Linked DNA regions of Mus musculus. The protein of the gene in region 1 interacts with the protein of each later gene in a pairwise test. Links are inferred from orthologs where the notes say so. Each region holds a gene or a part of one and is shown in the gene's direction. Other genes may lie near its edges.

Region 1 (7,399 bases):
GGGGTCGCATCGTGCTGGGTGAGAGACTGGGGAGTGAGGGAGACGGGGCGCAGAGGGGCTTTCTGCATGCCTGCTCACCCTGCACCCCCTTTCTGCCTGCCTCTTTTCTAGGCCATGCCACAAAGTCGTTCCCCTCTTCCCCCAGCAAGGGGGGTGCCTGTCCCAGTCGGGCCAAAATGTCAATGACAGGGGCAGGAAAGTCGCCCCCCTCGGTCCAGAGTTTGGCCATGAGGCTGTTGAGCATGCCCGGGGCCCAGGGAGCTGCAACTGCTGGGCCTGAACCCTCTCCGGCAACAACTGCCGCCCAGGAGGGGCAGCCCAAAGTGCACCGAGCCCGGAAAACCATGTCCAAACCTAGCAACGGACAGGTGAGAGTGTGGAAGTTGGGGTGGAGAGACTTGGGGAGTCTCTGGGTCGGATTTTTTGTTTTGTTTTGTTTTTGTTGGTGGTTTGTTCTTTTGGGTTTTTTTTTTTTTTTTTTTCCTTCTTCCGGGATTTAGCCTTAGACCTCTTGTATTCAGATTTTTTTTTTCGAATTTACCAATAGGCTACCAAGTGTCAGCTGTTGGGCTGGGCCTCTGTGAGCAGAGTAATTGTCGGCTTCCTGGAGTTTGTGTTCTTTGGGGAGGGGTGGTCAGCAGAGGAGACTGACAGATGTAGAATTAATTATATAGTTATTGTCCTAATTACACAAATGACTGGGCAGGATCAGCCTTCCCAAGTTTGTGTTTTTTTTGTTTTGTTTTTTGCCTCTGAACAAATGCTTAGGGAGGTTGGTTTGTTCGTTTGTTTGTTTGTTTGTTTGTTTGTTTTTCAAATCCCTACTTTGAGACCAGTCTCAAACCAGATAAAGTTTTTACTGGGAACTCTTCCCTGGGAAGGCCACATAATGACAGAATGTGGGCGGAGGCGTGTGTGTGTGTGTGTGTGTGTGTGTGTGTGACAAGAACCTGGAAATCAAAATTATGTCAAGGTTTTAAGGGCTCTTGATTCAGCTTAAGTATGGCTTGTGTAGCCTTCCTCTGGGTCTTGTTTCGTTTATTTTGTTGTTTGTTTTGAGCTTTATTTTGTTTTGAGAGAGTAGTTTTTGTTTTTTGTTGTTTTGTGTGTGTGTGTGTGTGTAACAGGGTCTCACTGTGTAGCCCTGGCTGGCTGGCTGTGTAGACCAGGCTGGCCTTTAACTCACAGAGATCTACCTTTTTCTGTCTCCTACATCCTGGGGCTGAAGGTGTACACACATGCCTTTTATTTATAATCTTTTTTTTAAAAAAGATTTATTTATTTATTTTATGTATATGAATATACTGTAACTGTCTTCAGACACACCAGAAGAGGGAATCAGATCCCATTACAGATGGTTGTGAGCCACACCATGTGGTTGCTGGGATTTGAACTCAAGACCTCTGGAAGAGCAGTCAGTGCTCTTAACTGCTGAGCCATATCTCTGGCCCTTGTTTTATTTCCTCTTTTTGAGATGGTCTCATGTAGACTGAACTTGCTATGATCCACCCCACCCAGCTTCTACATTTAATTTTTTTCTTTCTTTTTTTTTTTCTTTACTCTTTCTTTTTTTAAAAACTTTTAAGCTTCTGGGTGTTTTACCTGCACATATGTCTGTGTACCACCTTGTGTGTCTGGTGCCCTTCAAGTCAAGGGGGCAGTAGACCTTGAGTTTGAAGGGGTTGTGAGCATCTTGTCAGTGCTGGGCAATTGGACCTGGGTCTTCCACAAGAGCAGCAACCGGCTCTTAACCACTGCACTACCTCTCCGACAATGCTTGTTTTCTTTTTCTGGGAAAGTGATTACCTCACCATGGTGTGGCTGTTCTTCTCTGGTACAGAAGTTCGTGTTTGCTCGGGCTCCTCATATAAAATTATGAGAGCCAGGTGGATCTCTTAAGGTCTGGGTCAGCTAAGAATCAACATTTGCATATGCCTTACACGTATCTGTCTTCCTTGTAGATACCTTATAGATGATTAGCTAATGCCTGTATTAGTAGTTTAAAGACTCCTATATGGGCACAACTTTTAAAATTTTATCTGTTGCTGGGTGGTGCTGGCTCACGCCTCTAATCCCAGTTCTTGGGAGACTGAGGCAGGCAGATCTCTGAGTTCAAGGCCAGCCTAGTTAGAGTATACACAATTCCTTAGACAGCCAAGTCTATATAGTGAGTTCCAGGGCAGCCAAGGCTACACAGGGAAATCCTGTCTTGAAAGAAAAATATTGATTATAAGTGTGTATGTGTAATGGGGGAGGTTGAGGGGATGGACGCAGTAGAGGACATATCTGTGGAGCCTGGTCTCTTCCACCTTTTCATGCCATCTAGGAGTCAGACTCAAGTTTTAGGGTTTGCGCAGCAAGCACCCCTGCCCACTGAGCCATCTTGCTGGCCACTGTTCTCTTTTTAATTTTTTTTTTTTTTTTTTTTTTGGTTTTTCGAGACAGGGTTTCTCTGTATAGTCCTGGCTGTCCTGGAACTCACTCTGTAGACCAGGCTGGCCTCGAACTCAGAAATCCGCCTATCTCTGCCTCCCAAGTGCTGGGATTAAAGGCGTGCACCACCACGCCCGGCTTTCGGGTAGCATTTTTTTAAAAACTCATTTCTTTTTTTTTTTTTTTTTAAGATTTATGGGAGTTCCCTGTCGCTGTCTTCAGACACACCAGAAGAGGGCATCAGATCTCATTACACATGGTCGTGAGCCACCATGTAGTTGCTGGGATTTGAACTCAGGACCTCTGGAAGAGCAGTCAGTGCTCTTAACCCTGAGCCATCCCTCCAGCCCTTCGGATAGCTTTGTTTGTTTGTTTTTTTTTTGTTTGTTTGTTTTTTAATGTATGTGAATACACTGTACAGATGGTTGTGAGCCTTCATGTGGTTGTTGGGAATCGAACTCTTAGGACCTCTGCTCCCTCTGGTCAACCCTACTCACTTCAGTCAGCCCCACTAGCTCTGGCCCAAAGCTTTACTTACTTTTATATGTAAGTACACTGTAGCTGTCTTCAGACGAACCAGAAGAAGGCATCAGATCCCATTACACATGGTCATGAGCCACCATGTGGTTGCTGGGATTTGAACTCAGGACCTTCAGAAGGGCAGTCAGTGCTCTTAACCACTAAGCCATCTTGCCAGTCCCCCAGATAGCATTTTTGAGGTACAGCCAGCCACAATACTCCCACCTGGGCCCCAGGCTGAGGGAACAGACCCATAACTTTAATTTGGTGGCTCACTTATTTCACTTAGCACAGTGCCTTCAAGTTTCCTCTATGTTGTATATTTCCAGGCTCCCTTTTTGTCCTTGGGTGTTCTGTTTGTTTTTGAGATAGGGTCTCACTCACTCTATAGCCCTAGCTGGCCTGGGTCTCGGATCCGCCTGCCTCCCGGAGTGCTGGAATGAAAGGTGTAGCCCACCACACCTAGCCTGGGTGAGTAACCTTCTGACTGAAACGTGTTCCTTCCTGCTTCAGCCTCCAATCCCTGAGAAGCGGCCCCCTGAAGTCCAGCATTTCCGCATGAGTGATGACATGCATCTGGGGAAGGTGACTTCAGGTCAGTCACCTCTGCTCCTCCCACACACTCCAGGTGGCCTGCGTAGTCTATCCCAGGATTGAGAGTTCACTTTTCTGTCTTTCCAGATGTGGCCAAAAGGAGGAAGCTGAACTCTGGTAGCCTGGTGAGCTGGAGAGGAAGACCTACCTGGTGGGGGTGGGAGCGGAGGGGAGGGGCGGATTGGTGGGCTGGAGCCAGGAACCTCAGACTCTGTCATCTTTTTCTAGTCCGAGGACTTGGGCTCTGCCGGGGGCTCAGGAGATATAATCCTGGAGAAGGGAGAGCCCAGGCCCCTGGAGGAGTGGGAGACGGTGGTGGGCGATGACTTCAGCCTGTACTATGATGCGTACTCTGTGGATGAGCGGGTGGACTCTGACAGCAAGGTGTGCTGGTGTGCTCTTCTCAAGCTTCCCTACCCAGTCTGTTCTTTCCCTTTAATAGCTCTAGTTCACCGCCCTGTGTTGTCTGCAACTGTTTCTTATATCCCTTATCTCATCTCTGGTCCTCTCATTCCAACCCAGCCTCCTCCCTGCCTTGTTTGCTCCCTTTGTGTTGTTTGCTCCGTTGGCTTTTGGCTAGTTTTGTTTGTTTGACAGGGTCTCACTAGTAGACCAAGCTGGCCTCAAATTCCTAGAAATCTGCCTGCCTTTGCCTCTTTAGTGTTGGGTTGAAAGGCACATACTGCCACACTGTGTGTGCGCTCATCCTGGGGTTAGAGGACAGCATCTCGGGCTTGGTTCTCTTTCGATGTAGCTCTGGGGATCTTAATCTCTTACAGTTTGTGGGTTTGAGCTTTCAGAATTTTCCCCCGTGTTTGAGGTTGAGCCTGGCGCTCTGCAAGTGCATTGTAACAGGCCTGTGCTTTATTTTTGCTGATTGAGGGATTAAACTCAAGGCCTCGCAGGGCGAGCAAGCACTGAGCTGCTACTTAAATATTTGATTTCAGGCCTCATTCTCTACCAACTTGCCTGGGAATGGCCCGGCCTTAACCCACTCCTGTAGTCTGTCTGCCTCAGCCTCCCGAGTGGCTGGGGTTAAAGGCATGCTTTTTCTAAATGGGGATGGGGCTTGAGACAGAGTCTCACTTTATTTTTTTAAAGATTTATTTATTTTATGTATATGAGTATACTGTAGCTGTACAGCTGGTTGTGAGCCTTCATGTGGTTGTTAGGAATTGAATTTTAGGACCTCTGCTTGCTCCGGTCAACCCCGCTCACTCAGTCACTGATCATTCTGGCCCAAAGATTTATTTATTATTATACATAAGTACACTGTAGCTAACTTCAGACACACCAGAAGAGGGTGTCAGATCTCATTACATGATGGTTGTGAGCCACCATGTGGTTGCTGGGATTTGAACTTAGGACCTGCAGAAGAGCAGTCAGTACTCTTACCCACTGAGCCATCTCGCCAGCCCCAGCTCCTGAGCTGATCCTCTTGCTTCTGTCTCCACGTTTGGACTACAGGCATGTGCCGCCATGTCTGCTGCTGCTTCTGCTTTTTGTTTTTGATTTTTTGGGGGGAAGAAAATGTGGCAGTGGTTGCAGGTGCCTCCTTCCTATTGCCTGTCTTTGGAAGCTGTGTAGGGTGTTTGGTCAGTTCTTGTGCTGGTCAGTGTTGACATGCTCCAGAGGCAGAGGCGTAGGATCTCTGTGAGTTCCAGGTAGTGGCCAGGACTACCTAGTGAGGCCCTGTCTCCAAACAATCAATCAAAAAGAAAACTTTGACATTGGGCCTGTGGTTTCCGGTGATGGCAGCCTGACCCCTTCGTTAGAGAGCACCTCCTTAGCTTTTCGTGGAGTGTGGTTGGTTTTGTTGCCATGGGTAGTCTTGTCAGAGTGTTTCCTAAGACCGGCCCTTGTCACTGCTGTGTGGCATTCTGTGCCTCTGTCCCTATCCACCCTTTCCTGCCTCCTGCCCACATCCCCCACCGGGAGCTTTCCTTGGGGGGGGGGGGGGTGATGATATGGGGCCTCAGCAGTCACCGAGAGAGCTGCCTTTGCTGGTTTCCCAGCCTGATTTTTCTTTTTCAGTCTGAAGTCGAAGCTCTAGCTGAACAGTTGAGTGAGGAGGAGGAGGAGGAAGAGGAGGAAGAAGAAGAAGAGGAGGAGGAGGAGGAAGAGGAGGAGGAGGAAGAAGAGGACGAGGAGTCGGGCAATCAGTCAGACAGGGTAAGAGCAGAGACCGGCCTACCTGGAGGAGTGGGGGAGCTGGGAGCAGAGCTCTTGAGTCTTCCTCTTCCACAGAGCGGTTCTAGTGGCCGGCGCAAGGCCAAGAAGAAATGGCGGAAAGACAGCCCGTGGGTGAAGCCATCTAGAAAACGGCGGAAACGAGAGCCTCCGAGGGCCAAGGAGCCAAGAGGTAAGACGGCTCCTCTGCTCTCAGGTCCCCTCCTCCGGCCCCAGAGAGCAGCACACACTCGGATGCTCGTGCATGTTCACTGTGTAGACCGCATGTGCGCACGCGCCCAGGACCTGTGAGCCCCCACTCTCACTCTCTCTGTCTCTGTGTCAGGAGTGAATGGTGTGGGTTCCTCAGGGCCCAGTGAGTACATGGAGGTTCCTCTGGGGTCCCTGGAGCTGCCCAGCGAGGGGACCCTCTCCCCCAACCACGCTGGTAATTAATTGCCAACTGCCGGGACAGGGAGCCACCAGGGGGTGCCCATGGGGGTGGAGGGAAACCCTGCCACAGCTGGGGTGTCCATGCCAGGCTTTGGGGTTCTAGAACATGGTGGGGTGGCTGGGCGGAAAGGAGGGGACCCTCCCAGTGGGTGAGGGGCAAGGCCTCCATCATCTCTGTCTCTTCCTGTCTAAGGGGTCTCCAATGACACGTCTTCACTGGAGACAGAACGCGGGTTTGAGGAGCTGCCCCTCTGCAGCTGCCGCATGGAGGCTCCCAAGATTGACCGCATCAGCGAGAGAGCAGGGCACAAGTGCATGGCCACAGAGAGTGTGGATGGAGAGGTGGGTCTGGGTACGGTTGGCTTAGGGGGCCCAGGGTGAGCTAGCCTGGGCCCTGGCCTCACCCACATGCCCCCACCTTCCTTCATCCCTAGCTCCTGGGCTGCAATGCTGCCATCCTTAAGCGGGAGACCATGCGGCCGTCTAGCCGCGTGGCGCTGATGGTGCTCTGTGAGGCCCATCGAGCCCGCATGGTCAAGCACCATTGCTGCCCGGGCTGCGGCTACTTCTGCACAGCGGTGAGTGACCATTGGGGTGGATGGGCGGTCTGGCCAGCACCGGAGAGCTCCGGGGCTGACTGCTGCCTCTTCCCTTCCCCAGGGCACCTTCCTGGAATGCCACCCCGACTTTCGTGTAGCTCACCGCTTCCATAAGGCCTGCGTATCCCAGCTCAATGGGATGGTCTTCTGTCCCCACTGTGGAGAGGATGCCTCAGAGGCCCAGGAGGTGACCATTCCTCGGGGCGATGGGGGAACACCCCCAATTGGCACCGCAGCTCCTGCTCTGCCACCCCTGGCACATGATGCCCCAGGGCGAGCGGATACCTCCCAGCCTAGGTATTGGCCTCTCCACCACCACCACCACCCGGTTATCCATCTTATCTCCCTTGCCCCCAGACCTCAAAACCTTTTTCCACAGCGCCCGAATGCGAGGGCATGGAGAGCCGCGGCGCCCGCCCTGTGATCCCCTGGCTGACACCATCGACAGCTCAGGGCCTTCACTGACTCTGCCTAATGGGGGCTGCCTCTCCGCTGTGGGTCTGCCCCCAGGGCCGGGCAGGGAAGCCCTGGAAAAAGCCTTGGTCATCCAGGAGTCTGAGAGGTGAGTTTGTGCTGTTTTCAGGGTGTGACTGGGCCAGAAACGCAGGTGTTGCTGTCGGTACTTAAATCTG
Region 2 (7,399 bases), on another chromosome or scaffold:
CGCCGGTGCGGGCCTGGGTGTAGCCTAAGCGTGCTGCTAGCCATGGCTGCGGCAGGCCCGGAACCCCGGCTTTTGCTCCTGCTCCTGCTGCTGCTGCCGCCGCTGCCCCCCGTAACTTCTGCCTCCGATCGACCCCGGGGCGCCAATGCTGTCAACCCAGGTGAGAACCCGGGCGGCCAGTGGGCAGGGTCGACACGTCCGCCAGCCTGGAAGGGAGTGTCCAGCCTTCCCAGTGCATTAGCCTCTCATGCAGAACTTGGGGTTCCAGGCTCCCCAGACAGACAGGAACACCCCAGCCCCCATTCGTGTATGTTACTCTCACCCGACTCTTCTGGAGATCAAATGTGCTGAAAGAACTTTAGTGAAGTAATATGGAGGTGTGTGTGTGTGTGTGTGTGTCGGGGGTGATACAGAGGGATAAACACGTGGGACACTAAGCCGTGTCTTAAGTGCCAGTTCTCTGGCTATGACAGACAAATTGCTGGTGATCACTGTGGCTACGGCAGAGACAGAGGGGTACCGGCGTTTTCTGCAGTCTGCGGAGTTCTTTAACTACACTGTACGGGTGAGTGGGGGGACCCATGGGAGAAATTCCAGCGGGAGAGGGCAGGGGTCGTGGGGGTTGGTCCTGTTTCCTCATCTTGGCCAGCTGAACCTCTTCCGCTGCGTGGGGGTGGGATCTTTCCTGCAGACCCTGGGCCTGGGACAGGAGTGGCGAGGGGGTGATGTGGCTCGAACAGTTGGTGGAGGCCAGAAGGTCAGGTGGCTCAAGAAGGAAATGGAGAAATATGCAGATCAGAAAGACATGATCATCATGTTTGTGGACAGGTAAGGAGGGCTGGGGTGGAAAGAGTGGGAAACTGGTTATGGAGAGAGAAAAAGAGACTGAGGTTCCTCCTGGCTCTCGTCTTCCCCTTTTCTTGCCCAGCTACGACGTGATTCTGGCAAGCAGCCCGACAGAGCTGCTGAAGAAGTTTGTTCAGAGTGGCAGTCATCTGCTGTTCTCTGCTGAGAGCTTCTGCTGGCCTGAGTGGGGGCTGGCAGAGCAGTACCCTGAGGTGGGCATGGGGAAGCGCTTCCTCAACTCTGGTGGTGAGTGGCCGAGTTCCCAAGACAGACTTGTCCCCTCTCTATCTCTCCCTCCCCCAGTGGAGCGGGCATTGCATGCTCTGGGTGCTTGAGTCGGGGACCCTGGCAGTCTCGGGAGGTCTAACTCACTTCTGCTTGCCACCCCCCCAGGATTCATCGGCTTTGCTCCCACCATCCATCAGATTGTCCGCCAGTGGAACTACAAAGACGACGATGATGATCAATTGTTCTACACTCAACTGTACCTGGACCCAGGGCTGCGGGTAGGGAGACTCAGGGACAGGAACCCCCTCTCCAGTTGAATAGGAGGGGAGGCATAAAGGGAGTTGGAGAAAGAGAGATATAGTGTCACCTGTCCCCCCTCCGTTCACTGCTCCATCTTATGCCATCTAGGAGAAACTCAAACTGAGTCTGGACCATAAATCCCGGATCTTTCAGAACCTCAATGGAGCCTTAGGTGAGGACGGTGGTTAGAGGTGGGTAATGAGGGATGGGTTCCTGCCAGAACTGGGTTGATCTACAACTCACCAGTATGCTAACTTAACCAACTCCTGAGCATGTGTGTTAGCGATGGATGTGTGGCTCAGTGGTAGAGCACCTGCCTAGAATCCCCCAATGAAAGGCTGGGGGTGTAACTCTGTGGTAGAGAGTGTGTCTAGCATACAGAAACCCCTAGGTTCAATTCTTAGCACCACACAAAAACAAAAGGAAAAACTGGTGTTTGGAGCTCGATCTACCGAGCACTTGCAAAGACCTTTGTGCACCAGAGGAGTTGGGATCCTATCGCTTCACACCTTAAAGAGCCTGTTGCCTCGTGGTTCCAAAATGAAGGAGCTCTTGAAAACCTTCCCCTTTTTGCCCCCAGATGAAGTGATCTTAAAGTTTGACCAGAATCGTGTGCGCATCCGGAATGTGGCCTACGACACACTTCCTGTTGTGGTCCATGGAAATGGTCCCACTAAGGTGCCCCCATGCCCTCAGCCCTCCACGCCCCCCCCCTGCTACCCCAACCCTCCTGGACCCCCTCCCCCTGGTTTTCTCCATTTCCAGCAGAAAAGGGTGCCAGGATGGCTGCCTCACCCTGCTGACTTTTTCCTGAGCCCAATGTCCTTGCCATCTGTCCCCAGACACCTCCACTTTAGCCACTCAACCCTGTCCCAACAGCTCCAGCTCAACTACCTGGGGAACTATGTCCCCAATGGCTGGACTCCCCAGGGAGGCTGTGGATTCTGCAACCAGACCCTGAGGACACTCCCGGGGGGGCAGGTGAGGACAGCACGGATGTCAGCAGAGGGCCAGCTGGGCGGCCTGGGGCTGAGCTCCTGTGCACCTGGACCTGGCCGAGTGGGCAGTGGGTGACTGCTGTGGGCAGAGAGAGGTCTGGGCTTGTGTGAGCCTTGTCCTGTGGTGTCCCCCAGCCTCCCCCCCGGGTGCTTCTGGCCGTGTTTGTGGAGCAGCCTACTCCCTTCCTGCCTCGGTTCCTGCAGCGCCTACTGCTCCTGGATTACCCCCCGGACAGGATCTCTCTCTTCCTTCACAACAGCGTGAGATATGGAGAGCATACCCCTTATCCCCCATCCCACCGCACCGACACCTCCTTCCGTCTGTCCTCCCTGACTGCATCCCCCATGTACCCACCTCTCTGCCCAGACCGTCAGTGTATCCCTCTCTCCGCCCATCTTCAGGAGGTGTACCACGAGCCTCATATTGCAGATGCCTGGCCACAGCTCCAGGACCATTTTTCAGCTGTAAAGCTGGTGGGGCCAGAGGAGGCCCTGAGCGCAGGGGAGGCCAGGGACATGGCCATGTGAGTGAGTCTGCCTGGGCTGTGGTCACACTACGCTCCCCTCCCTCATCCTCTGACACAGACAGTGGAGCCCCTGGGGAAGGAGACACTGACCCTTGACCTCATGTCAGAACCAGGAGAGCCCCGCTCATCCCTCCATCCCCACTGCCCTGCCTCCATGCCCCCATTTGGGCTCACCTCTCTATCTGTGGCTCTTCTCCTCCAGGGACAGCTGTCGGCAGAACCCTGAGTGTGAGTTCTACTTTAGCCTGGATGCTGATGCCGTCCTTACGAACCCGGAGACCTTGCGTGTCTTGATTGAACAAAACAGGTGACCAGCACCACCCATGCATGGAGCCCCAGAAGAGCTTCACCCCCTCCCCTGGTGGGACATAGTCCTATCCCATCTCGTCCATCCCTCACCTACGTCTTCTCCATAGGAAGGTAATAGCTCCCATGCTTTCCCGCCATGGCAAGCTCTGGTCCAACTTCTGGGGTGCCCTGAGCCCCAATGAGTACTACGCCCGCTCCGAAGACTACGTGGAACTGGTGCAGCGGAAGCGAGTGTGAGTCCCACCCACGTACCGTGCAGTGCCAGGCAGGCCCTTCCCTCGGTCCCCCTCCGCAGCCTCCTACATACACACTAGGCCCCCGCTATGGAAAGGGTGATATGATGGCCTCAGGCTTGGGATTCTGGGGGACACCGAGGAGGAGCTTCTGCAGTGAGCAAAGCGTAGTCTGTGGGGTTGCCCACCTAGCTGATCATACCCGGTGCCTGCAGGGGCGTGTGGAATGTACCCTACATATCTCAGGCATATGTGATCCGCGGGGAGACCCTGAGGACTGAACTGCCCCAAAAGGAGGTATTCTCCAGCAGCGACACAGACCCAGATATGGCTTTCTGCAAGAGCGTCCGGGACAAGGTGAGTGGGGTGGTTGGCATGGGTTGCCCATGGGGACTCGACGCTGTGCCCACAGCCTCCTGATGTCCTCCTCACGCATGCCCACCCTTTACCCCGCTCCAGGGCATCTTCCTCCACCTCAGCAACCAGCACGAGTTTGGCCGGCTGCTGGCTACTTCTCGCTATGACACAGACCACCTACACCCAGACCTCTGGCAGATCTTTGACAACCCTGTGGTAAGAGGGGACCTTTGCTCCCTGCTTCCAGCCCATAGCCCCCACCACCATTGCTGATCATGGGAGGGCAGGCGTGAAGAAGGCTCCGCTCGAGCGCCCTAACCCTTCCTACAGGACTGGAGAGAACAGTACATTCACGAGAATTACAGCCGGGCCCTGGATGGGGAAGGGCTAGTGGAACAGGTAAGCTGCCCCAGGACCTTGGCCCGTGTGAAGTACCCACTGCTGGCATTGGTGGGTTCTAAGCTGAGCACCCGGGGACTGAGGGTTTCCTATTCGGGCGAGAGGAAGGCTAACGGCCACACTAAGTGTTAAGGGCCTGTAATCTTAGAGGTCTGGAAGGTGGTGCAGAAGGATGGAGAGTTTCAGGCTAACCTGGGCTACATAATAGGTACCAGACCAGCCATGGTCAGATGGCAAGACCAAGTCTCAAAAGAAGAAAAAAGATGGGCTGAGAGAGAACTCAGTGGTCAAGTGCTTAGGACATAAGCATGGCGACCTAGTACAGGTCTCCAGAGCCCACCTGCAGTTCCAGACTGAGGACCCGCAGCAGGTTGATTCGCAAGACTGGCTGCATCCGTAAGCTCTGGGTTCAATTAGGAGATCATGCTCGGTGGATAAGGTGAAAGAACAATGGAGCAGTTCCTGGTGTCAACCTCAGACCTTCGAATGCACAAATGTGCACACGCACACCCCCAACATAGCCGTGCCCACCCGCACATGCACACCCCCACACAGCCGTGCGCACACGCACATAAAAACAAACAGAGGTGTGGTACATGCCAATAATGCCAGAGCCCAGGTCGAGGAAGATAACAGGGATTTGGAGTTGCAGGGCAGCATCAGACACGTAGCCAGTTCAAGGCCAGCCTGGGGACTGGAGAGATGGCTCAGCAGTTAAGAGCACCGACTGCTCTTGCGAAGGTCCTGAGTTCAAATCCCAGCAACCAGATGGTGGCTCACAACCATCTGTAATGAGATCTGACTCCCTCTTCTGGAGTGTCTGAAGATAGCTACAGTGTATTCACATACATAAAATAAATAACTCTTAAAAAAAAAAAAAGGCCATCCTGGATTACATAGTAAGACCTTGTCTAAAAATAAGTAAGTAGATGGGCTGGAGCTGGGGCTCGTGCAGTAGAGAGCTCCCCCAGTATTCACAGAGCCCTAGGTTCAGTTCCCAGCACAGTATAACCCGAGCATGAAGTTGCACGCCTGTGATCTCGGCATTCAGGAAGTGCAAGTAGGACGATCAGTGCCAGCCTCAGCTACCTAGTGAGTTTGAGGACAGCCTGGGCTACAAAAGACCCTGTCTCAAAAAGGAGGAAAAAAGACAGGACAAGATCATTGTTCTAGATGTTGGGGCTCCAGGCCCCCTATTCCTGCCCTCCTCTGCTAAAACACCCTTCCTCTCTCCACCTAGAGAGCTTGGGTCAGCCCTCCATAGATCCTCTCCTGTGTGTCTCCCCTCCCCTGTCCTTGTTGCCTGTCCCACCTCTCTTCTGTGAGCTTCACCTTGCCTTGTCCCTTGCTGCCCTGCTCTGTCCCTAGCCATGCCCAGATGTGTACTGGTTCCCACTGCTGACCGAGCAGATGTGTGATGAGCTGGTGGAGGAAATGGAACACTATGGCCAGTGGTCTGGAGGCCGGCACGAGGTGAGGACAGAGGGCTCCCAAGGGGACAGGGTGGGCCTGAAGAGGGACAGGGGACTTGGGGGATAGAGGGGATCCCCAAGGGCGGGGCTCATAAAGAGTATGCTAGTTACTTGTGGCCAGGAGAAAGTATATGTCCAAAGCAACTTGAAGAAAGGGTTTCTTGTGGCTCACAGTCTGCGGGCACAAGCCCATCATGGCAGGAAGGCATGGCAGCAGGAGCGTGAGAGAGCTGGTCACGTGGTCATATTGCACTGTAGTCGGAAAGCAGAGAGATGAGTTCTGTTGCTCAGCTCACTTTCAGGCCAGGACCTTAGCCCAGGGGATGGTGTCACCCACAGTGGTCAGGTCTTCCCATCTCCGTTAACCTAAGCTAGACAGTCCCTCCCCAGCATGCCCAGAGGCTTGTCTTCTAGGTGAACCTAGGTCCCATCAAGTTGACAGTCAAGGTTAGCTATAACACAGAGGTTGCTTGGGGCTACGGATGTTAGATAGCATGGGAAGGTGGCGTGGATTCACAGCAGAGCTAAGGACAGCAGAGACTAAAGGGCCCGGCAGCAGTGAGTCTGCCTTGACAATAGAAGAGAAAACTGCTTCTAGATGTCACAGACAGAAAGAGACTCCGGCTGGGCAGTCATCTGCACACCTTTAATCCCAGCACTCTCGACAGAGGCAGGTGAATCTCTAAGTTCAAGCCCAGCCTGATCTGTAGATCAAGTTCCAGGGAACCAAAACAAAAAACCTGGGAACCAACAAGAAGAAGCTGGTATTGTCCCTGAAGGAGAATGGGCTAGCCCAGGGATGTGGGTGGCTGAGTGTCTGTTGCTCACAGGATTCCAGGTTGGCTGGAGGATACGAGAATGTTCCCACCGTTGATATCCACATGAAACAGGTGGGATACGAGGACCAGTGGCTTCAGCTGCTGCGGACATATGTGGGGCCCATGACGGAGTACCTGTTCCCTGGCTACCACACCAAGGTGGGCCATCCCAACCGCTGCTGTACCTCTTCTTGTACCCCAGTCTCGGAAGGCTCTATGTGGACCCCGCCCTCAGCCCTTTAGCAACTGAGGCGCCACGGACTTGGGGCCCAGGATAAAGATGGACTCGGAAGGAAGTTAAGCCTCCTACTCGGGCCACTGTGCTATTAGGAGAGTCACTGGCAGGGCGTGTTGACACCTGTAACCTCAGCATTTGGGAAACTGAGGCAGGAAGGTCGAGTTTGAGGAGAGCATGGGCTGTGCAGTGAGCGCCTGTCTCAAAACAGGAGAGAGAGGCTGGAGATGTGGGTCAGCCAGTGCGCTCACCCAGCACGCACAAAGCCCTGGCTTCCATCCCCAGCACTGCATAGCCTGGGGGTAGGAGCACAGCCTGTGATCCCAGCACTCAGACGGTAGAGCAGGGGGATCAGAAATTCAGGGTCGTCTCGAGCTACATAGTTTGAGGCCAGCCTGGGCTACAAAAAATACCTTGTCTCAAAAAATGGGGAGGAACGGGACTGGGGAGATGGCTTGGTCTATAAAGTGCTTGTTCCCATGTCTTCCACCTCATGTACAAAACAAGTAAAGGGCTAGCCTTGGCGTGCCCTGCCCTTCCCATGACTTCCACCTTGTGTCCCCACAGACACGGGCAGTGATGAACTTCGTGGTCCGCTACCGGCCAGATGAGCAGCCCTCGCTTCGGCCACACCATGACTCGTCCACCTTCACTCTCAATGTCGCCCTCAACCACAA
Region 3 (7,399 bases), on another chromosome or scaffold:
AGCCTGCCAGGGAATTCAGCCTCTGAGGGGAGCAATGCCTCCAGAGGGGGCGGGCAGTGAGGAGAGGGGGAGCCACAATCTTCCAGGGCAGATCACACAGAGCCTGTCTGGTCCCCAGAGTCTGCCTGGCTGGCAGCTGTCCACAGCTATCTTCCCTTCCTCCACGCTCCCTCTCCATCCCAGAGCCTTGCCTTAAGAACTTAATCGGGCTTGCCCCTAGAGCCTCCTGCGGGGAGGGTAGCAGCTGGCATCAGGAGCAGAAATAGCTGCAGCAGAAATCCTGCCGCTGTTGGATCAGGGCCAGTGTGGAGGGGCATGGGGGTGGGGAGAAGAAAACTGAGACAGGCTCTTCCTTTCCAGTGAGACCCCCAAGCTGGGCCACAGAAGGTTAGGGTTCACAGAGCTCAGGGCTCAGGAGGCCCACCCACCCTTAGCCCCTGAAGAACATCTGCCTCTACAGACCAGCTCAGGTCTCCACTGGGCTAGTGAGATTCGACACTTCCCTGTTCACTGGGTGTTTGTACTTCATCAATCATCAGCCCTTTTATTAACTTATTTGATGTCTTGTTTGTTTTTAAAAACTCTTTATATAGACTAGATACTAATTCTGCATCACATGTGCAGCCATCAGAGGTTTTCCCCTGTCTGGTGGGCTCCTCCTCTCTGTTAACTTTCCTTTGCTGTACAGAAGCTTTTAAAATGTCACCAGGTCCCATATGTGAATCGTTGTCCTTATTTCCTGAGTAACTAGAGTCCTACTGAGAAGGGCCTTGCGATGCTTGTGTCTGAAGCATTCCCCAACTTTTTTCTCTCATAGTTGTAGAATTTCTGGTCTCACACTGAAGTCTGATCAATTTGGAGTTGGATTTTTGCCTGGCGTCCTGCCCAGGCAGCCCCGTGTAATGCCTCAGACCCAGGCTGTGTCTTTCTACCCTGGCCATCATCTCTATCCATCCCCGTGTGTGACGTCTGCCCCCATTCTCACCCTGCTTATTCACAAACCCTCCTCTGACTCCCTTCATTGTCTAATGTTCACCCCCTCCCCATAGATACCGGGTGTGCTCTGTGCCAGTTATCCCCAGGGACCCCAGATACTTTCATGGTGTCCCTCCACTGAACTTGGCTAACACTTACTGGATTAATGAATTATGATGGTGGGTCGGTTGTTTTATCAGGGCAATGTCAACCCACACATTTCTAAGTGTATCGTCCCTAGACCAGAGGCATTTGAAACAATGTATTCTTGTTGGATTGGCATGGGACATAAGTATCTAAGGGAATGTGTGCATGTGTGTGTGTTGTGCCTGCTATGTGTGTTGTATGGGTATGTGTTTTGTATGTTGTTTGCTCTGTATGTGTTTGTGTTGTGTGCACTTTTCCCCACAGATTATGGGGATATTATTATGCTCATCTGTACATGTACCTGCTTTGTTTATGGATAGTGAGGTTTGGGGAACAATTTCTCTGGGTTCAACCATCACGATGCTTTCGGGATTCTTATCAAAATGGCTGCATACATCACCTTGATGCAATGCTTATGGTGAGCCAAGGTTATTCACAGCTGCTTCTCAAATGGCCCTATTTTGTTTTCCATAATTAAGAATTTTGCTCAAAGAGGTTGTGGCCTACATGAGGCCTCACATCTGTAATGGGTGGGATGCTTTCAGCTGGGGCCCAACTCGCCTCTCTCTTTCTTGGTGTCTTGGGTTCCTTCCTTGCTGACAAGGGACACATTCCCCTTCTTCTCTGTCTCAGAAGAGTCTGGGGGGCCATGTCCCTCATCCCGTGGCTCCGGTGGAACGACACCCCTCCCCGGCTCTCGGCCCGGACCCCGGCCGAGATGGTGCTGGAGACGCTCATGATGGAGCTGGCTGGGCAGATGAGAGAGGTGGAGCGACAACAGAGGGAGCGTCGCAGCGCAGTCAGGAAGATCTGCACTGGTGTGGACTACAGCTGGTTGGCAAACACGCCCAGGCCCACCTATGACATCAGCCCTGGTGAGCGGCTGCAGTTGGAGGATGTATGTGCCAAGATCCACCCATCCTACTGTGGGCCTGCCATCCTCAGGTAACCCTGGCATTGGGATGGGGACCGTGACCCTACTAGCTCCAGAGAAGGTGACTGGAGTCGCAGGAGCCCAAGGCTAGTAGAATCAGAGCCAGATGGCATGAGAAATAGAATAGAAATCTCCTATTTCTGGGAGAAATAGGGTGAGGAATATCAGACTTGGGGGAGGCTTCATCTGGGGCTGGAGGCAGATTCTAGAGGCCCTCAGGCTGGGATGGGTTGGACTCAAAGCTTGTAAATTCTTTGTTCTTCCTGCTGGGTGGTTGCAAGTATGCATGTCAACAATGGTTCCTTTGTCACACGCCTATCTTCCATGTCTCCAACTTCTCCTGCTTCATTTCCTTCTTCTTCCTCTTCTTTTAGCCCAGGCTAACCTAGAACTCACTATGTAGCCTAGGCTAGTCTCAAATTCACAGCAATCCTGCTGCCTCAGCCTCCATGTTCCTTCCTTAGGACCTGTCCCAGGCAATCTCTCCAAAACTGGTGTCTGAATTACTCTGTTCCGATCAGGTTTGACACTGTCAGCCCGAGGTGTGAGTGTGTGGGGGGAAGAGGGAACAGGGAAGCCCAGCCAAGTGTGTGAGTGTGTGAGAGCCCAGGGCACCACATGTGCAAAGCTTGGTGTAGCACAGGACAGAACCTAAACCTCTCTCCCTGAGGCTGTGGACCTTCCCTCTGTTCCCATAGAGCTGGTGAACTCAGTACAAATTCAGGACCGACCCCAAATGCACAGGAGTTCCTTGTCAGCATTCTGTTTGTAAAGGACAAATCTACAAGTAAAGACTTTGAGTCCAACTCCTCCAGTAGCCCCCAACACTTGCCCACCCCGTGCTTCCTCTCTGAAATTCCCTTGAAAGGAGGACTTTGCCCCTATTTCCTCTTTGGTTTCTGTAGTCTCCGCGCTGGTGCCCCTGAGCTCTCCCATTCTTCTGATTCTATTGATGGTGGAGGCTCCTAAAAGCATTTACTTCAGAAGTGAAAATGGGACAGGGGTAGAGTGCCAAGCTGATGCCAGGGGGCACCTGACCTGGCTGGCTAAACCCACAGTGAGGGGGCACAGGGTTAGAGCCATACTTCCTCTTGGATTTCCTGTCTGCCTCTGCCAAATGCTGGCTCTCTGGAGGGCAGAGGAAAGAAGGGATCAAATGGACGAATCCAGCTCTATGGAGAAATCTAGGCAGAGGAAACAGCTAAAGAGACACACAAGGAGCAAGGAGGCCACCAGCGGCCTTCCTGAGAAGGAGCAGGGCCAGTAGGAATGCAGAGCTTGTCCATCCCCTGAAGAGACACGGAGCTGGGGGGAGAAGGTCTCCATGTTGACACACCATGACATTGCAGACATGCATCTCAGAGTAATCACAGGGGCAGGTGGAACTGGCAGAGGGGTGAACACAGTCTCCCACAGCCAGGCTGCAGTTACAGTGCACACCTCAGAACTTTGTCCCTGTCAGCCATGGGCTGGCTTCAGGCTCCTTGCATATGAGCACACGTACCATGTGAAAAGGCAGGTGTACCCTTTTACAGGTGAGAAAACTGAGGCTCAGAGGTGAACAGAACTGGGATTTGAGCTCAAGATTGACTGGGACAAGAGCAAGGTTGGGAGTTTCTGGCTTGTGAGATGCTCAGTCCATCACGGTCATGTGCCCCCAGGTTCAGGCAGCTGCTGGCTGAACGAGAGCCCGAGGTGCAGGAGGTGGCGCGGCTGTTCCGCTCCGTGTTGCAGGAGGCCCTGGAGAAGATGAAGCAGGAGGAGGAGGCCCATAAGCTGACACGTCAGTGGAGCTTGAGGCCCCGCGGCAGCCTGTCGTCCTTCAAGACCCGCGCTCGCATCGCACCCTTTGCCAGTGACATCCGAACCATCTCGGAGGATGTGGAGCGCGATGCGCCACCCCCGCCGCGCACCTGGAGCATGCCGGAGTTCAGGGCGCCCCAGGCCGACTGACCACCCAGGGCAATCACCCTCAGGAGGAATAACGGGCTGGTGACTCTGTCACTAGCGCCGGAACCTCCCCACCTACCCCAACCAGGAGACCCATCAAGCAACACTGCTAGACCACGGAGCCAACTACCCAGTGAGCACACCTGCTTGGATACCTGGGCAGAGTCAGGACTTGAGCCCTGTTTCTCCGCAAAAAGGTCTCCACTTCCCAGCCTGACACAGACACAAGGCCCACATACTCATCCCAATTTCCGGGATGCCCCATTCACCCTATCCATTCATGGCACCTTTACTGGTGACCAGATGACATTCACTGCAGGGGACCCACAGCCTCAGGCCCAGGGCAGCTGGTGGGGCCCACAGAAGACTGTTCAACCCACTCTTCAGCTAGTGAGTGAAAAAAGGAAGTCTTCCAAGAGTCTCTGCTTTTGCCTTAACTCTGATCCCTCTGATGTGGCATTGTTCTTGCCTCTGAGTCCTTGAATGCTGGACTATGATAGGGTGGGACCAATGTCTACATCTCCATCCACTGGGGCCGAGGCTGCTGTCTGAGAAAGGTGGCTAGGGGTAGGCAGGATGATCATAACTCCCATCCTGCGATGTCATCATATGGAACATGGCCAGTCCAGAGTCAGGGCTTGGAGGCCTGCGAACCTGCTGCTGAAGTCTAGGGATCCTTCTGTTCACACCTGCTCTCCAGCTTCCCTAGGAAGTACCTGAGCAAAGCAGTCCAGGGTAGTCTCCTGCAGCCTCATGCTCTGATGGTCTATGAGTGGATGTCCCCCACCTCAATCTGGGGTAGAAGTAAGGTTCAGGGCAAGCAAAGAGTGTCCCCAGCACCCAGTGCATGTGAACCTTATAGTCCAAATAAAATGCAATGGGAGAAAAATCACTAGGTACTGCATATAGTCTGGCTCAATGGGAAGTCTGCTCTCCTGCCCTCCCCGCCCCTCCTCCTTCAAGGCAGGGTCTCACTATTTTGGCTGCTTCAGCCTCTTGAGTGCTGAGTCTACTGCACAGATATTCTTTTTGAATGATGTGGCTTTGGGTTGCTTCACTGGGATCTGGATAATGATCGGATGGCACATTCCTCTTACCCATCGCTGCCAGGATGAAGGAGCTGACTGGCTCATTAGTATAATCTCTTCTAAACAAAAACATTTTAAACATATCTTCTACTGGAAGATACTGAGAAGTTCACTCAGTTGCCAAACTTTGGATAGAGGTTCAAAGTTGTAGTCGACCCTCGACTACCAGTCAATGTAGGTACCTCGAAAGGGGTTCTGAGAATTAAAGGACAGGGATGAAAGAAAAATGGTGCTAAGACAAAGTTCTGATCAAGGTTCAATTTTATTGCAAAGCAGCAGGCTTATAAAGGCAAAAGCCATAAGCCCAACCCCTAGATGTGACTGATGACGTAGATCACCTCATGCTGACTGCCAATGGCATAGGTTTCCATTTCTCAGAACAGGTTTCTCTTATCAGGGCAAAACGAGAATTCCCAACTCTGGAGGGGAAATTCCACCTGCGAAGGCAAAAACAGCTGATGCGGCAACCCCTCTCTGCAGGTCAGGGCAGAGCCTCCACACAAAGTGACCTGTGTTGTGATGGGGGTTTGCTTTGATTCAATGGGTTTGTGGGTGCTTTGAATGTGACACCAAGAACAAATGGGAAAGGCTTTGAAACAAACAGTTCCACAGTTGGGAGGAAATGTTGAGTGAAGCAGAGCTTGCCAAGCCTCCTGCCTGAGGCCCTTGTGGGGCTTGATTTGCCTAGAGGGAGGTTCCGAGGATCCTCAGGGGAGGACTACTGATTGCTGATTTCTTCTTCCAGGTCTCTCTGTTCTCCTCAAACAAAAGGAAAACCTGAGGTAGTGAGCTTGCTCTTGCATGACAGGCAGCTGCTACTGCTGTCCCTGCCAACCTCCTCAGTACTCTTCTGCTTTGTCCCACCTTAGCTGTGATGCTAACTAAAGCCTGTGAGGGTCTCAGGTCCTGTAAGACTCAGGGCTAACAGAGGTGTCTGCTGAGGGGCTGGCGTTGGCTGGAGGGGAGGGGGAGCCCCCCCCATCCCCCCCGCTGAGCCGCAGCTGGCGCAGCATCCTAGTTCTGGTGCTTCTTACTTGGTATGAGAACTTTTAAGTTCTAGAAAGTAAAGGGAGCCTTAATGCTTATTAATTCTTAATAATATTAATTTCATTTTTGTTTCATGTTTTAATTTCTCAACCCAAAATTTTGGCGGATACTTTAATATGAATCTCAGATATGTTTCTTCATGCCTGAATACTTCAGTGTGCTCTGCAAAAGAGAACATCCCAGAAGTTGGGGATATCTATCTGTCTGTCTGTCTGTCATCTACCTATCTAGGGTGGCATACATCTTTAGCCCCAGAGTTTGGGAGGCAGAGGCATGAAGATCTCTGAGTTCGAGGTTAGTGTAGTCTACAGCATGAGTTCCAAGATAGCCAGGGCTACGCAAAGAAACCCTGTCTTGAAACACAAACACACAGCTGTTCTGCTAGTAAAAATCTACACAAACTTTCATATTATCTAATACCTAGTCCCTGCTGAAATGACCCAAATTCTTCCCAACATATGACTCCTTGCATTTTGTTTCTGAGAGTGAGGGTCTCATCAAATCTCATACATCCACACATCAATCAGAAAATTATGATTTGTTTATGCTCAATCACATAGTGCTCTATAATTCTACAATGGAAGATTGTTTATGGAGTATCATGTTGATAAACAGTAAATTAATAAATTGTGGCCATTTGATAAAATATTTCAACACAAAAGATTCTCTAATATATATATATGTATATAATGTAATTTTACATAACATTAATTTCTTCTCTGGCTTTAGATTTTTAAATTCTTTCATAAATGAGGAAAGCAGCAAAAAGTGCCAACCATTTGCACCAGTAAAGAATAGCTATTAATAGTACATATTTTTACTAATTTGAAATAATAAAAACCTATTGGCCATTCTGGGTAGGGGGTGCATGCTTGGCTTAATACTTCAGGAGCCTTCTAGTGCACACTTGAATCACACACAAGGAGGAAAAAAGGCTGAGGATAATCAGCCATAACAAAACCACATTCTTTGTAGTTTGTTATCATGCAGGTTTGACCTGCATGCTTACTTTAACCCACAAATAGCTACTGCAGTCATTACATGTCATTAATTTTCCATGGAAAATTGTCTTTTAGGCTAGGACATATTTGAGAGCTGTTTACAAAGTCTTAAGAGGAAGAAATGTTTTGCTTCCAAAACACTGTCTTTCTGGAATGTGTGTGTAGCACACTCCATGAGAGGTCTGAGTTTATCTGCCGTATTGGTACTTCCGGTTCCAAACACTTATACTCTGGAGGTCTGCCATGCCTGTTGTTGC

What was found.
Region 2: the proteins of Ehmt2 (region 1) and Plod3 interact in binary tests that used the Homo sapiens proteins (3 or more experiments, as listed by UniProt). The two-hybrid records come from large-scale screens. The link is inferred for Mus musculus from reciprocal best matches to the Homo sapiens genes EHMT2 and PLOD3.
Region 3: the proteins of Ehmt2 (region 1) and Rd3 interact in binary tests that used the Homo sapiens proteins (3 or more experiments, as listed by UniProt). The two-hybrid records come from large-scale screens. The link is inferred for Mus musculus from reciprocal best matches to the Homo sapiens genes EHMT2 and RD3.

The regions. Positions count from the first base shown.
Region 1 is NC_000083.6:34,899,549-34,906,947, forward strand, and holds part of Ehmt2 (histone-lysine N-methyltransferase EHMT2), read left to right. Parts: coding exon 1-18; intron 19-111; coding exon 112-368; intron 369-3,465; coding exon 3,466-3,547; intron 3,548-3,633; coding exon 3,634-3,671; intron 3,672-3,774; coding exon 3,775-3,930; intron 3,931-5,580; coding exon 5,581-5,718; intron 5,719-5,793; coding exon 5,794-5,908; intron 5,909-6,061; coding exon 6,062-6,163; intron 6,164-6,361; coding exon 6,362-6,510; intron 6,511-6,602; coding exon 6,603-6,746; intron 6,747-6,828; coding exon 6,829-7,064; intron 7,065-7,146; coding exon 7,147-7,329; intron 7,330-7,399. UniProt on the Homo sapiens protein: Histone methyltransferase that specifically mono- and dimethylates 'Lys-9' of histone H3 (H3K9me1 and H3K9me2, respectively) in euchromatin.
Region 2 is NC_000071.6:136,987,644-136,995,042, forward strand, and holds part of Plod3 (multifunctional procollagen lysine hydroxylase and glycosyltransferase LH3 precursor), read left to right. Parts: 5' UTR 1-42; coding exon 43-160; exon of another isoform or gene 161-316; intron 317-473; coding exon 474-565; intron 566-691; coding exon 692-828; intron 829-928; coding exon 929-1,092; intron 1,093-1,239; coding exon 1,240-1,352; intron 1,353-1,482; coding exon 1,483-1,546; intron 1,547-1,954; coding exon 1,955-2,052; intron 2,053-2,253; coding exon 2,254-2,355; intron 2,356-2,507; coding exon 2,508-2,633; intron 2,634-2,774; coding exon 2,775-2,896; intron 2,897-3,101; coding exon 3,102-3,206; intron 3,207-3,315; coding exon 3,316-3,441; intron 3,442-3,656; coding exon 3,657-3,798; exon of another isoform or gene 3,799-3,898; intron 3,899-3,900; coding exon 3,901-4,014; intron 4,015-4,128; coding exon 4,129-4,197; intron 4,198-5,565; coding exon 5,566-5,670; intron 5,671-6,499; coding exon 6,500-6,646; intron 6,647-7,289; coding exon 7,290-7,399. UniProt on the Homo sapiens protein: Multifunctional enzyme that catalyzes a series of essential post-translational modifications on Lys residues in procollagen. Plays a redundant role in catalyzing the formation of hydroxylysine residues in -Xaa-Lys-Gly- sequences in collagens.
Region 3 is NC_000067.6:191,981,495-191,988,893, forward strand, and holds the end of Rd3 (protein RD3), read left to right. Parts: intron 1-1,755; 5' UTR 1,756-1,771; coding exon 1,772-2,067; intron 2,068-3,717; coding exon 3,718-4,009; 3' UTR 4,010-6,788; downstream 6,789-7,399.